Lepisosteus oculatus: one gene and its partner. Each later gene encodes a partner of the first gene's protein in a complex. Links are inferred from orthologs where the notes say so. Each region holds a gene or a part of one and is shown on either strand. Other genes may lie near its edges.

Region 1 (7,721 bases):
AAGCACCACGAGGAGGAAGAACTGGCTGGAACATTGCTGAAATGTATTTAGGGTAGTGGAAGAATTTCCCGACAGTATACTTTTTGTGTACAAGGGGTTTCTGAACAAAACGCCACAGGATAGCTGGTGAAAGACAGTACAGTTCTGTGTGTAGAGGACTAAGGCCTTGAATGGAGTCAGAGTGTGAAATTTATAGTTTGGAGTGCGTAGATGAATAGTGAGGGTTCTCTGGTCATCGTGGCTGGGTTTTATATCTTCTCGGGTGTGCAGGCAGGTGAGGCCATGCCCAGATCATCAAGGGAAAGCTGTTTAGTCCAGGAGTAGAGCCTCTCCGCCTCTTCCTCCCACTCTTCTTCAGAGAACCGGGCTTCGTCTCCGGGGATATCCGCTGGAATGACGTCCTGGAGCTCAGCAAGGACCGCCACATGTGGAGAAGCCCGCTCCTCCTCATCCTCCTATGGGAAAGATATAAAAAGGTTGCTGTGACCAAGCTGGAGTGATGAAGACTGTGCCTTGTGTTGTGGGCCGGGCAGGAGGTGGGGGCTGACCACTGTCAAGGCTCCATGGAGGAGCTGCACTCACATGGCAGCAGTGGGGGCGTTATGACCTCAGAAAGGCACAGGAGGTCAAATCCGGACTGAATTCCGTTATGAAGTGAGGTGTGACAACTTGGGGTACCTCAAGGGCCCTCTGTGAGCGGGGCTGCTTATAGATGCACCACTGTACAAGTAAAAAGGGTGTTGGAGCTAAACTGAAAGCAGAATCACAGAAAATGGCCCTGCGGCCCTTCTCACCTTCCTGTCGCGCTGCAGAGAGTACAGATCCCTCATCTTGGCAGCTGTGTGCCGGGCTCTGCTGGACCGCCGGGACGAGGGCTTGGCACTGACGGGCTGCGGCGGGCCGGGCCTTCTCGCGGAGGCGACCGAGGAGGGAGGGACTGCAGGGGATCTGCGGAGGCAGGGACACGCTCATGTGGGGGACACCCTCGGCCCTCAGCTGGCAGCTTCGACCCCCCAAAAGAAATAAGACTTGATAAGCTTCATCGTGGGTCTGAGATTATACAAAAGGTTCAGCTATCCAATACTGACAGCCACCGAGACACGTCTGGGAGCAAACAGGACAGACCAGTCAGTTTTACTACCTGGAACACTAGGACTGTCCTTTAGCTTCTCACAAAATAGTCTTATAATGGGATTTCAGTTAGCACCAAGGAATGACAGTCTTATCACTGGCAGTGATGCAGGGCTGCCCAACTGCCTTCTATAAAATGCTTTCTTGCTTTGTTTTTACTGCAAAAATACCCTTTTAAGCAAGTTTAATACAAAAATACCCTTTTAAGCAAGTTTAAGTGCATGCAGCCCATTTCTTTATTTGCATTTCAGCAACCATAACCTTCAGCTGCTGAAAGGAAGGCCAGTCCGCGGTCCTACCTGAGCTGCTGAGGGGGCCCAGGCTGGTTTGGTCCTGCCCTGTTGTGCCACAGCGCCCCCAACAGGGCGGGGTCTGCAGGGCATGCCAGGGGAGTTCTGCGCAGCCCCTCCAGAGACAGGGTCCTCCAGGTGTTCTCTCGTCCTCCCAGGCACGCCGGCGTCTCGTCCAGGTGGCTGTTGTACTGCAGACGGGAGGTTTGCTCGGTCAGGCCTAGTCTTTCCCGCCCTCGCCGCTGTTCTTTGAAAGCAGGATGAGCTCAGCGGCCAGAGCGCAGCAGGGCCGGGCCCTGACTTGCACGCGCGCTGTATCTCGCTCCCGCTAGACGGCGGAGACTGTACTCCACCTGCATGTAGTCTTTCGCGCACGTGACGTCGGCCACGTCCACTATCCTCCACCTCGCCCGCTGGGCGTTGTCCAGCCTGAGCTGGCTGAAGAAGGCCCTCCTGCCCATCATCCTGCAGGCGTCGGACGCGGCCTGGGGGGGAGAGAGGGAGACCAGGGCGAGATGGGCGTGCGCGGCGGGGCGCTGGGGAGGGAGCGTGCTCTGTGGGAGCTGGATTACCTCGCTCGCCGGGCGGATCGCGCTCCCACTGAAGTATTTGCTCCCTCCTCTGTGGTGAAAGATCTTGAACACAATCACAGGAGGGAACTCTGAACCACAAAACCTGCAATTGAAACCCAGGACAGGCTCAATTAGAAGCTGTTTCGATACTTTCCAGTTTAATACTTAATATTATGTCCTGCGTGTTGTTTGCTCTGTAGGTAGCTTCAAATCCAAACTCAAAACTTTACCATGGCCTGTGTCTGATTGCCCTACATCCTATCTGTATGAACCTGCATTCTTTTACTTTTTCGTGTATTTTTTGTCTTTTCCTTTATCACCATGTACAGCGTTCTTGGGTTTGGAAAGGTGCTTCATAAAAAAGTTATGACACTTCTAAAATTAAATGCAAATCGCAATGTAATGTGATTCCAAAATGCTTTGGTCTTAAGACCCGGAAGGTCTGGGCTGATCCCAAGTTCTACTCGTTTTGAAGTTAGAATTAAAGTGCCACATCAATAATAAGAATAAAGCACACCCAACAAGTACTGAAAAGTGTTTTCTGCTCGTTTCCCGTCACTGGCTCCTGTACGACGGTGTCTGGTGTTTGCCCTTCCACACCCCCTGCAGCTGTGGGGCGACTGTGTTCAGGCCTACAGATCAGGGTTACAGCCCTGCTGGTTCACAGTGTCGTCTGCTGGTTCGACTCGTTCACCCTTCCTGGATTGTGCAGTCGGTTGGCATCAGCCACGCCGTGAGACGGGTGCGTTTTACCCTGCGGACGATGTCTGGGTGCACTAGCTATCCTGCTCGGTACGAGAGGACCCGCAGGTTCAGCCGGGGGGGAGCCGGAGTCTGTGGGATCACGTCAGGCGCCTGTAGCCCCCGCAGGGGGACGGTACCTGAAGCGGACCGTGCACTGCAGGCTGGGGTCCCTCAGCAGCTCGGCCTCGCGGGGGCTGACCTTGCGCAGGACCTCTGGGGTCAGGCAGTGCTCCTGGGGGACGGACAGCGCATCACACAAACCCTTCCCCACCGCGGACCCCCGCAGCTCCATCTCCACACCAGTTTCATCCTCAACAACAGAAGGTTTCTTTTTCTGTGGGCAAACGCACTAGAACTAATCGTAAATATATATTAATATATCTCTCACACCTGAAGAAGGCTCCACGGCCGAAACGTGTTTGTCTTTTTTTTTTCCGGCATGGAATAAACCTATGACTTGTTCCATACTTATATTAACACATAATTGACCCAGTTAAGAACATTATTTTTTTGTGTATTATGTGAAATCGTCCTGGTCAAGAGACTTAGCCCTTCACGACACACATACTGACTTCACAAGATCGCTCAAGCAAGCAAAATCAAGTTATTTCGGCAGGGCCTCACTTAAACCTCTATTTGTGATCCTGTTTGCAGTTAATCTTCCTTTACCCCCTGCCCCCAATCCTAGAACTACTCTCTCTCTCTCAATTCAATTCAATTCAAGGTGCTTTATTAGCATGACCGATGGGTACAATCAGTGTTGCCAAAGCAAATAAAAATAATAAAATTAACATAGAACAAAACAAAAAATAGAAGTAAAATAAAATCTACAGACATGTTACAGACATTTACAACAAAGACATATTATATAATATCGACATATACATTCTCTCTCTCTCAGTATACATTCTCTCTCTCTCAGTACTTGTGCTGCAAACGTTGAACCGTTTGCAGCAGAAACCTAGTTGTAACGACCCTGAAGCGGCACGCCAGCGCCAGGGTTTGATTTAGCCGTGCGTGACTTCAGACAGGGTCCGGCTGGACCTCACAGCGGCGCGCCCTCCCTACCGCCGCGCAGACCGTGTGCTTCAGCAGGCGGAACAGGCGCCGGTCCCGGTGCGAGCGCCAGCGCCGCTGGATCCTGCGGGCGGCGGCACCGAGGTCCATGTGGTCCATGTGGTCGTCTGGGGAAAGGACAGTGAAGGACGCACACGGGGAGGAACGCAGTTCACTATGGAGGCAAACAGATGCAACCACACTCACGGAACGGGCAAAGGTTTATTTCACGCAGACAGGAAAGGAGCACACGCACAAAGCCCTGCAGTCCAAACGGGGTGTCTCTTCTCTTTCCAGCGTGGCATAAACCAAGACGCAGCGCGAACACTTCTTCGGCAATAATAATAGTTGCTGAATCATAATATGAAATACCTTTCCAATGATGGTAAGCACAGCCGGTCAGAGCACAGCTAAAAACTGATAGCGAGCTGTGCTTTTTTTTTTAAGAGGATGCCTTTTTAGTTATCACCAGTGGTGACACGATGTTACCCACTGTACGTCTGCTCGGGAGACTGTTACCCATTCAGATCCGACTTGTTTTATGTATACTACAGAACGTCCTATATACGGGAAAAAAAACGAAAAATAAGGATATGAATAGACAAAAACGCCTAAGAAAAAGAAAAATATCTTTCCGGATCGGAGAAAAAAAAAACTATTTCGTAGGTCATTTAACACAATTCTCCATTAAAAAAAACTAGCTAAGTCTTAAAGAGAAACAGTGCAAGCGAGTACTTACATCATAAATGCTAAACGGTTGAACGTGCCCTTGGAAACGTTCTTCTATAATTTCCCTACATGTCTCGAATAAACATAAGGGGTGCTTTGCGCTTTGCATTAGTTTCGGGGTCCTGGGTGCGCGCAACCTCTACGCTGCGTTTGCGTGTGTTGCTAGGGGATACAACCTTGACGTGTCGGTGCACCTGTGATCGGCGGCCAGGCGGGGGCGCTGTGTAGCCAAGGCGAGGCCGTGCGCGGAGGAGGTGTGTCCGTCTTCGGCCGCCGTAGGACGTATCGCATGGCGCCGCCGAGAAGGACTATGTACAAGGTGAGAACAAACTTTGCCAAAAAATATATGTCTATTCAGTCGTACTGGAGATGCAATCCAAGATGCTATGTCCTCAAACAGAAGCATTTTAAGGAGCTTTTCTAACTTTGGGTTTTGTAATAAAGTGTCGTGTTACAGTGGAAGTCTGAGCAGTAGGGCGGTACAGCACAAGAGAGGGTTTTAGCCATGCTGGTAGTAAGATACCCAAGAAGGACGTGCTTTAATGCTTGCAGAATTTGCCAGTAACGCAGTTCCCAACCCGGCCTCGTTTTGATGCTTTTTGATAAGTATTGACCAGCAGTTGAAAATCGTGGGCTTGCGCCTTTGTCTGTGTTATCTCGGAAGGTGTTCATCTCGCCATCGTTTTTCATCCCAGCTATGTTGAGGACCCGGAATCCCAGTTCTTCCGGATCTGGCCGCCTAGATGCTTTGAAATAGATTGAGACTCGTTAGCTTGTCGCAAAATATCACCTGACTGGTGCCGTCCAGGTTTCGGTTTTACAGCTGTAGGGACAGGAAGTTAGTCGTTCCTAGCTGTTTTTCCTACACTTGTGTGACACTGGCTGGCTAAAACACTTAGCTCAAAGAGCGTTTTTAATTTTAACCAGAAATCTACAGTGTATCTCGTCGGAGTATTGCTCTATTGGTCATTCCATTTGCTGCCTCAGTAACAACTACCTGCTTTGGGGGCGAGTCATGCTTGTGACGGTGGCGGTGACTGGACCAGCGTGCAGGGAGAGAGCTGAGGCTGTCCAGCTTTGTGTGATTGAAACTCTCCTGCCTGACACTTGCCCTTGTTAACACTGTTCGGTTATAGCCTGGTACCTGGTTTTCTTTCTGTCGATCGCCGTTGTCTTTCCTTCATCGCGTTGTCTTCTGCGCAGCAATGGCCTGGGTCTCTTGGCCAAGCTCGTCGTCGTTGACTTAGAATTTGTTCTCAGCCGACATATCTCATTAAATAAAGGATTAAAACGGAGCGACGTTGCCTTGTTGTTGCTTTTCCACAAGGGGCTCGGATGACACATGCTACTCTACGCTGGTGTAGAAGGAGCAGCTGTAATGGGAGCTGATTTTGTTACCCAGAGATACGCTGTGATGTGTTATCGCTCAAGGGTTGTATCAGATTCCTTCTCGAAAAGACTTATTAAGCTGCTGCTGCAAAAGGATACCACCTTGAAACTGTAGGCCATCAGAACCTCAGTATGTAGAGAATTGAACTCGCAAGGCTTGCTACAGTATATACAGCAGATAGGGATGATAACATGCCGGCCTGAACTATGAAAACAACACAGAGGCAGGTGTGCCTGAGCAACAGAGGGTTTAAACAGGATTGAATTCTGCCTCAAGCCAGCGTGTTGCAGTCTCAACAACTCCCCCCACTGCGTGCCTGACCCTGTTGTATTCATCTGTGAACAAAACACACCTGTGCTGGAAAGGCAAGCCATTATACCCTTTTTTACAGAAAACCATACTTATCAATCTTTTACACACCAAGAAATAAAAGATAAAACATTTAAATTGTATCCATTAAAGCTTGATGCATGTTACAGGTGCAGCTCTAAATTGTAATTCGCTTGTTGCGTCTTACTTTGGGGCTAGGAGATATTTTTTATTCTTCTTGATCTTAGTGTGGTTTTGATACGGTAAATCATTCATATTTGTCTATCAATGCTACTGTCTTAAACATGTTTCACTCTTGTCCGACTGGTAGGCAGTGTTTTGTTTGTCTTGGTCCTTGTAAATCCCCCATGGCCCCAAGTCGATCACGGTGTGCTGCAGGGTTCAGTCTTGGGCCCTTCGCTCTTTATTACTTACATGCTTCCTCTTGGGCAGATCGTACACAAACATGGTCTTCAGTCTCACTGTCACGAAGATGCTATTCAGATTTACGTTAAAACTTCTTCCTCTTCTGATCTCTGTCACTTATCTCTTGCTCTAACTCACTAGGGGTATCTAAATCTACATTGAATGAACTCCAGTATGTCCAAAATTTTGGACCTGACCAGGTCTAGTGCAAGTGATCACATTACTCCTATCCTGGAGTCCCTGCACTGGTTTCCTATCCAATTCCATGTCATCTTTAAAAGCCTGATGCTCACCTGTCTGATCTATTATCGCCCTACTCCCCACCTCACAACCTTCGCTCTTCTAATTCACAACTGCTATCTATGTCTGATTCTGCCTGCTTGATTCCTGCATTTATAACACCAACGCTTGATTTCTGCTGCTCTTTACTCTGTGGCTCCCTAACACTCTTCTCCGTAGGTTGCACTACAGTATGTCCAAAACTGCAGCCAGATGACTGACTCACACCAGACCCTCACAGCACATCACTCCTATTCTTAAATCTCTTCACTGGTTGCCCATAAAGTCAAGTATACAATATAAGATCTTGTTACTGACTTTTAAGGCTGCAAATTGTCTGGTTCCATCATCCATCTCTGAACTCCTCCGTGGTTCCACTCCCTCCTGTTGGCTCCGCTCAGCTGAGGCTGGTCCTGTGCTCACTGTACCCAGGAATAAATCTTGTTCTTTTCAAATCTAAACTCAAGGTAAAACTCACATTTTTACTAGGGCCTGCGTCTGATTGCCTTGCAGTTTTTTCTTGTTTCATTTTTCTTGCTTTTTCTTGTATTTTTTTCTCCTTTATCACTATGTACGGCGTCTTGGGGTTTGCAGTGGCGCTTTATAAATGCGTTAGTTTGAGAAAACCAGACCCACGTTTTGCGGTTCTCCTGGTGCTGTAAGTATATATTTTGTCCGCTAGGGGGAGATATTGTCGAGGCTCAGAAACATACGAAGTCGGGGTGTTTTCAAATGTGAAACATATTGTGTTTTACTGTCTGGAGATCGGCGAGACCGTACTGCCGGCGCCGCACT
Region 2 (7,331 bases), on another chromosome or scaffold:
TGTACTGCCAGCCTTGGCTGGTGTACTCGCATGCTCGCGTGGGGGCGACGGAGAGGGTCTGCGTCAGCTTCTGAACGCCTGGAAGAAAACGGGGAGACGCGGTCACTCAGGATAGCCGGAGCCGGGCATGGGATTGTCCGTCAGTCAGAACGCCAGCGAGCCCTTCCCATCTGCAGCCTGTTTGACAGCATTCAGCCACTCAAAGGGGAACGGCAGCACCATTTTTCTATTTCTGTTTTAGAAAGAATCGCCATTGATGGGCGCACTTCAAACCGCAATGAAAGTCAGATGGACACAGTAACTTGTAAAACCTCCAATTCGCTTCACAAAATTCCCCGAAAGCTCCAGGTGAGCGCAGCGCCATGTTCTGCGATCCAGAACGAGGCAGGGCGCCGTGTTGCAGCTCCCTTACGTTGTAAACCAGCAGGCTTGTGGGTACGTCTCTTTAAATCCCATGGAGACATTGCTCTCAACTTCGAGACGATTTTGCCGATAAATGAGACTTACTCGTTAACTCATGTTGGGAAGATGCCTGGGGGTGAAATGTCTGCTGCACAACCTGTAGTTATTCGCTCACAAATCACATCAGTCATTACAGGGACTAGTGAGCAGGAAGGGCCTCCCCGTGTCAGAATTCTCGTGAACTCTCGCTCTCGCCCGTGCCGAGACCTGGGGTTTGCAACACTATGGCTACTTATAGCACTTTCACAAAGTTCACACTTTTTGTGCCCAATTCAAAATGTGTACATTTTTGTTTTGCTATACTGTCACTGAATTTATTTGGTTACCGAGATTCAATAACCGGTCTGGGAAACTGGGACTGCTCCCCCTTTCCAGATCAAGGATGAACCTGCTAGTACACACAAAACTAGAAAAACTGAGAGTTTGTTTGCTGTAGCATTCCTGCACTACGTAAGCTCTTACCGGTATTCCACGTTTCCAAAGCGGAAAACTCTATTTTGGGAGGAGAAGGAAGCTGCAGTAATAAGGGAAGAGGAGAACATGATGGTTAAACATTGCATCGACAACAGCCTCTCAGCACCAACACCAGTAAAGCTAGTTACAGCCTTTAGAAAGGACCTTGTCTCCGAATCACAAACTTTATTTAGTCAGTTCTTGATTCGGGGTCTTGTGATCCCAGGGTTTTTGGTGGAAGTTTACTTCCTGCACCTCTGTTAATGTTTAATACAGTCCCCGAGTTGATCTCTTGTGCTGGATGTGGGACTTTTCCACCAAAAAGTGGGCCTTCAAAACCGGAGTAATTATACTTCCTATCCAGATAATTATGTTGATTACGTAGGAATGAAAGATGTTTTTCGAAACACAAGGGCTGTGCCCTACACCTGAGGGTTCGGAGATGGGACTTATCTCTCTAAAAGAAATCATGAAAGCCAAAATACAGCACTGCACGACACTGGCACAGTAAAACCGCACCAGTGCTTGGCTGCTTCACAAGCACCCAGTATGTCGGCACAAACACAAGATCTTGGCCTCACCTCCCATCCGAAGTACTTCATCCACTCGTCCACAGCAGGGGGGATGGCAGCTTTGGCCTTGGTCAGCACCTCTGAGCCCTGGACACTGTCCCCCAGCAACCTCTGGTCATAGGCCACGTACACTGCCCCGCCGGCCACACCCACCTTGGTGACCAGCCTGCATGCCACAGACAAACCACACAACATCTAAATGAAAGCCTTTGTTTTTAATAAATGGATTGAATGAGAACGTACAACGGGTTGCTTTTATCAATCCATTTCCTAACTGATTTAGCCAGTACAGGGTTTTCAAGAGAACCAGAGTCTATCCCAGCAAGCACTGGGCGCAAGGCAGGGTACACCCTGGACAGGATGCCAGTCCATCACAGGACAAACACACACGCACTCACTCACTCCAAGACCAATTTTTCCAGGAGACAGTTAACCTACCAGTGGGAGTGGACTGTGGGAGGAAACCCATGCAAACCCAGGGAGACCATGCAAACTCCACACAGACAGAACCCTAGGAATTGAACCCTGGACCCCAGCTCTGAGAGGCAGCCCTGCTAACCACTGTGTCACCCTGTTGCTTTTATCCAAAAAACTAACAAGACAACCATTGAATCTTAGGGTAAGTGCATTTAAGATTGACAACAGAAAGTGCCACATTACACAAAGAGCTGTGGGAGTCTGGAACAAGCATCCAGGTCTGTTTCTCATGGTGATATTGAAATCCTTTTAAAAACTGGCTGGGTGAGATTTTCCTAATATGCTTTATCCCAGCACATAATTTCAATATGATGCTGAACTTGATTGCTAAACAATCCTAATTTGTAATGGTAAATCTAGGTTCAACCAAGCTAGGGAGACTTCTAGTTCTCCAGCGTCCTCACCACTCAGAGGGGGGGTTAATTGGAAGTGTAATTTGGGCGTGTTCACAGATGTGTGCAGTTTAGGAGTTAGGAACGCAGCTCCATGGCGTAGTTATTTAAATTGGTATTTCTTTATATATCACTACTTCACAGCAATAGTTTAACAAATCTGCTATAACTGAGCATTAAACCTACACCGCTAACGCACAGTTTGTTATCACTAAGGACTGTATACAGATACGATTAAAAGAAAACGCACTTTCAAGTCATGTTCAGAACAGCCGAGCTTGAATTTCACTGCTAGTTTATTTCACATCTACGTAGTACTAGATTTCACCGCCTACACATGGATCGTGACATTATTTTCACAGCAACTAGCAGAAAAAATTGACATACATTGAAACTTGAACTTTGTATAGTGCTGTCACAAGGAGGCCGGAGGAATCAACTTACTTTATTAATGGGAAAATCCTGGGAGCCATGAGCCAAAAACGAAGTAGAAACAAACGTAACAATGACCGAGCAGAAACGGATTGTTAAATAAACGAATATATTTGCAGCCCAGGTGTTTTAAAAACCGTAGTCTGCATTCGCATTTACAAGGACATCGAGAAGGCAGTACCAATGTGTGTTTGCCGTATATCTCAATAAAGTTTTTTCAAGATGACCTTCGACTCCCCTTTAGAGGTTACCGTTTTACATCGGACAAAGCAGATTCTTTCAAATTAAGATTATTTAAATTTAGGACTTTCATAATTCTTTCCCTCAATTAATATGCATTCTCAACATTTATTTTTGTAGAGACTTCTTCAAACATGCATAATCGAAGACCGCACTAATCTTTGCAAGTGGGTTCTGGGAAATGTAGTCCTTTACAGATTCTCTCACCGTGAGGCTGTGCGCAACCCTCACTCTGTAGTGAACTACAGTCTCTTGAACTCGTACCATTACATACTCAAAACCTGTCTATGAACTGTTCCTGTCCAAATTCATACTGGGTTACTAAAATGAATAAGGAATTACTCTTAAATTATATAACAAAATAAAAAGCAACAGCGTGTTGTAACTGTGATGATATCAAATTCTTACAAGGTAAACATTCCTGACTCCTTAATTTACCGTTCTAATACAGATTCAATCGGTTTATTGAGTCTTTGAGTCACTATTTTATTTGTAAAATAAATTATGTTTAGATTTTACGGATGCCTAACACGTTGGGTAAGAAAAGCGGATCGATTCATTTAACTTGTTTTCATTTTTCAAGCTAACCTTTATCTCCCAGTAGGTTTCAACGTGATAATGTGCAAAACGCTACTATCGGTACACGATTTGCCAACAGCCTGTCACTGGTTAGACACACAGACGATTCGGAGACGTGAAGCAAAACAAAGAGTTTTAACTGTGTGACTACCAGGAGGGCAGCAAGTCGAATCAGGAGCGCCTCACTTCACTCAGGGAGTAAAAATACCAAGCAGGGAGTTTCCTCCACGCACCTGTTCACTGGCGGCAAGAATGATGTAAATACTTAAGACGTGAGCTTTTTGTTTCTCCTCTTTCCAGTTCTTAACCGATTCCGTATTAAGGGCGATTTGAACGAGACAACTGCTTTGGCTTGAGTACATGAAAGGTGTGGAGTTTTGTTCCACTCGGGGAATGTAACAGGCATTTGGAGGTGGGACTGCAGATCTGTGGGGACGCTGCTCTTTGCTCGACACGCTCACACCTGCACAAGGCAACAACCGAGAGATGCCGGCTATGTTAACTGGTGTGTCTTTGGAAGGTGTGTGTGTGTGGGGGGAGCTCCAGATAAAAACGCCAAAGGGGAACCATGCAAACTCCACACAGACGATGCTTCAGAATGGACCCCAGGACCCTAGACCTGTGAGGAAGTTGTGTTAACTGTCATGCCACTCTTCCGGACGGTTCTAGAAACATGATCCATTACAAAACAAGGGCTGCTTCTTGGATTCTAATTCTTACTGTGTCACTGCCTTCAAAAATCACAGCTGTTGCTAAGTAGATCATGCAGAGGGAATAACCACAGACACAGGAAAGGCTGGTATTGGTATATTTGGAATTTGGAAGAGCTTTGAATCTCAAATACATTGCTGGGTCTCTCAATTATCCTCTCCAAGGTTGCAGTTCATAGATAAGGAGGGACAGTGTATTAGATGTGACCATAACAGCACTAAGCACAGTCTTGTTATCAGTGATGAGCTGTGGCCATCGACAGTGTGTGAGCTCTGGAGATTTGCACAAGGGAACGCTGGAACTCTTATTTTTAATCATATAACCCCAAAAAGGAGGGAAGACTTGCGAATACTCTGTCAATTAGAAAATGAAACACACTGCATTCTTCCTCATTTCAGTGCATGTGCTGGTATCATGAAGAGGCTAATCATTGGTAGTTCTGATTAGTATTGACCCTCACTGTGAATGGAAAATTAGCTATTGCTTATTAAAGCTGCTGTATTTGTACAATAAAAATATTTGGACAACAAAACCTTATAACAAAGGGGATTTTAAATCCTCTACATATGATTAATTACAGTAATAGTAGATGATACTTGATTTATAAGTTGAATTGAGGACATGACTGTACAGAATGAATCTGTATTATATTTATAAAAGCAATGTATTGTTCATGCAATGTTCCCGCAGACAATTCAACTGCCTGAATGTTAATATAAATCTAACCTGTGTCCCCAGGAACTAGACCAGGTCTTGGAAATACCGTATAGATTGAAAAACAGATCAATCTCGTTTACTAATCAATGCAATATTGTCAATTGCCTCTTTTAAGTGATAGCTGTGGGTTTAAAAAGGTGCTCAAGTGTCAATGTGATGACTGCCTGAGTGCCGCCCCCCCCCATGGTCACTGTCAAGGCAAGACATTGAACCTGCTAGGCTGAGGCAGGATCACTCTCTTAGTCTGGGGCTCAAAAGTCACTCTGGTTATAGATACAGGAGACGTACTTGGAAGCAATTGAGACAAAACAAAATCTGTCTCAGACACAAACCAATAGAGTCTTTTACACGATTCTCCTCGCTGCTTTACCTGTTTGCTGTACTATTGCAAACTACTGAAGAGGACATTGCTCACACGCTTCAAAGTTAGAGACATTACAGAGTGTGTGGAATTATTGGAACAATTGCACAGGTCCGACATTACTGCCTAGAAGCAGAAAGTTTTGATGGCTTTGAGTCAGTTCCAGTGCCTCAGAATATGAATATCAAGCAGGGCTGTATTAACAAGGTCAAAGCTTTGTGATACATGTTGACAAGTACTTGCAAAAGAGCAACAAGTCAGTTAGGTGGCCAGTATCTATTCTGCCATATGACTGTATATTCACATTTCCACTGGAATGATGCATCCTAAACTTGATCATCGGTCCAGAATCGAGTAGGGTCCTGTGTCAGCATTTGTCGGCTGCGAAAGAACAAGTAAAGAGAAAACTGTGCACCCTAAATGTTTTTTTTTCCAAATCAATCATATAAAGATATATGATTGAAGTGGAAATAAGTGCGTTCGCAATGTGCCAGATCAATGCCCGTTGCTTTCATTTTGAGAAAGACGTGTTTTTAGAGTTAGACCACAGTAATTGCCATCAACCGAACAGAAAGGTTTTAAAGCGCACACGAACGCTAACCTCTCTATCAGTTTACCGGACGGTGGATATTCACTTTAAACCACACGTTAATGGCTTTTCCTGTCTTTTTGTACAATCGAATCGAGTGTTTTCATGCAATAGTATGTGTGCTGATCAAAATAATGTCTGTGCTAAGCCAGGGTGGTAAGAATGCAGGTGATTGTTTTTTTAAAGACGCGCTGAGTTGGTTGCGTGTTTGCGATAGAGAATTGCCACTTCCTGACGGCGTCATAACTCCCCCTCTCTCCTCGGAACCCTCACAAGCGCTCGAGCTGCAGGACAAGCGAAGATCTGCAAGAAGAGGTCCGGAGAGGTTTGGTCTCAGGGCGACTGCAGTTACATATTTTTTCCTCCCCCTAAACGCTTTGCCATGAATCGACCTGTTAAGGTTATCCTGGTCACCACAGCTGTGTGCGCAGCGCTGCTGTCGTTCCTCTGGAGAGACACGTTTGACGCAGGTGAGACGTTTCTTTCCGTCGCCTCGAAGTTGCTGCTACCGTACCGGAGAGCCCCGGTTGTGCGCAGCAGCTGGGAAAGCGACTGTCCTTTCACACGCTGTGCGAGATTCACAAGATGTTTTCGACATCAGAGGAATCGTTAACTGGATTCGTGAAAGTGTGGTTAGACACTGAAAGGATGGAAACGAATGGAGACGGATATTCTCTTTTTAAAAGTTACATTTCCAGCTCTCTCTTCAAGACTTCTTCCCTATTTCCTTGTCGCACTGTACACCGTGATCAATCAGCAAAGAAGGACATGTCATTTAACACACCTGCACAAGGCTCCGAAACGTTGTGTTTTCTTTCTTCTCTTTTCAGCCTGGAATAAACCTATTGCTTGTTCCCATGTTGTTTAACGTAGACCTTTCTACAAACTGAAACAGAGAATGTTCTGTAAACTCAAAATACTTTAAACCTTGTCAGTGAATAAAACAACACAGTGTGCATACGCGTACAGTACGAAAGGAAATTTCAAAGCCACCGGGGTGAATGGACGAATTAAGGTGGGGAGTCCCTGAAGGGTCTGAGGACCAACACGAATTCGATTTCGGCACCTTCGGGTTTCTAAGACGCCTACAAGTGTTCCAGTCGACACGTTTTCAAATCGCGCACAGAACAAGCGCGGTGCCGCAAACCGTTTCAAGCGCGAAGTTCATTTTGTGCCGGACGAGATAATAATTATTTATGATGTCCTCTGCCTTAATTCATTTATTAGGGGGATATAAAATTAAGCGGAGAAGCCCCGAAGCCTATCAATAACGAGCGAAAGCAAGTCTACATTTTAAATAGGTATTAATGGCTTTATTGTACACCATTTAACTGGAAGTTCTACAT

Evidence for each region. The genes of interacting proteins can lie anywhere in the genome.
Region 2: apooa (region 1) and micos13 share a complex: the UniProt entries of both Homo sapiens proteins name them as parts of the mitochondrial contact site and cristae organizing system (MICOS) complex. The link is inferred for Lepisosteus oculatus from reciprocal best matches to the Homo sapiens genes APOO and MICOS13.

The regions. Positions count from the first base shown.
Region 1 is NC_090700.1:4,357,844-4,365,564, forward strand, and holds the start of apooa (apolipoprotein O, a), read left to right. Parts: upstream 1-4,712; 5' UTR 4,713-4,811; coding exon 4,812-4,841; intron 4,842-7,721. Other genes in the region: c5hxorf58 (uncharacterized protein CXorf58 homolog), read right to left, coding at 249-455, 795-948, 1,431-1,663, 1,775-1,906, 1,994-2,096, 2,875-2,969, 3,806-3,968, 4,533-4,537. UniProt on the Homo sapiens protein: Component of the MICOS complex, a large protein complex of the mitochondrial inner membrane that plays crucial roles in the maintenance of crista junctions, inner membrane architecture, and formation of contact sites to the outer membrane.
Region 2 is NC_090724.1:7,890,538-7,897,868, forward strand, and holds the start of micos13 (MICOS complex subunit MIC13), read right to left. Parts: upstream 3,006-7,331; 5' UTR 2,830-3,005; coding exon 2,801-2,829; intron 1,654-2,800; coding exon 1,497-1,653; intron 977-1,496; coding exon 925-976; intron 79-924; coding exon 1-78. Other genes in the region: hsd11b1la (hydroxysteroid 11-beta-dehydrogenase 1-like protein), read left to right, coding at 6,368-6,455. UniProt on the Homo sapiens protein: Component of the MICOS complex, a large protein complex of the mitochondrial inner membrane that plays crucial roles in the maintenance of crista junctions, inner membrane architecture, and formation of contact sites to the outer membrane.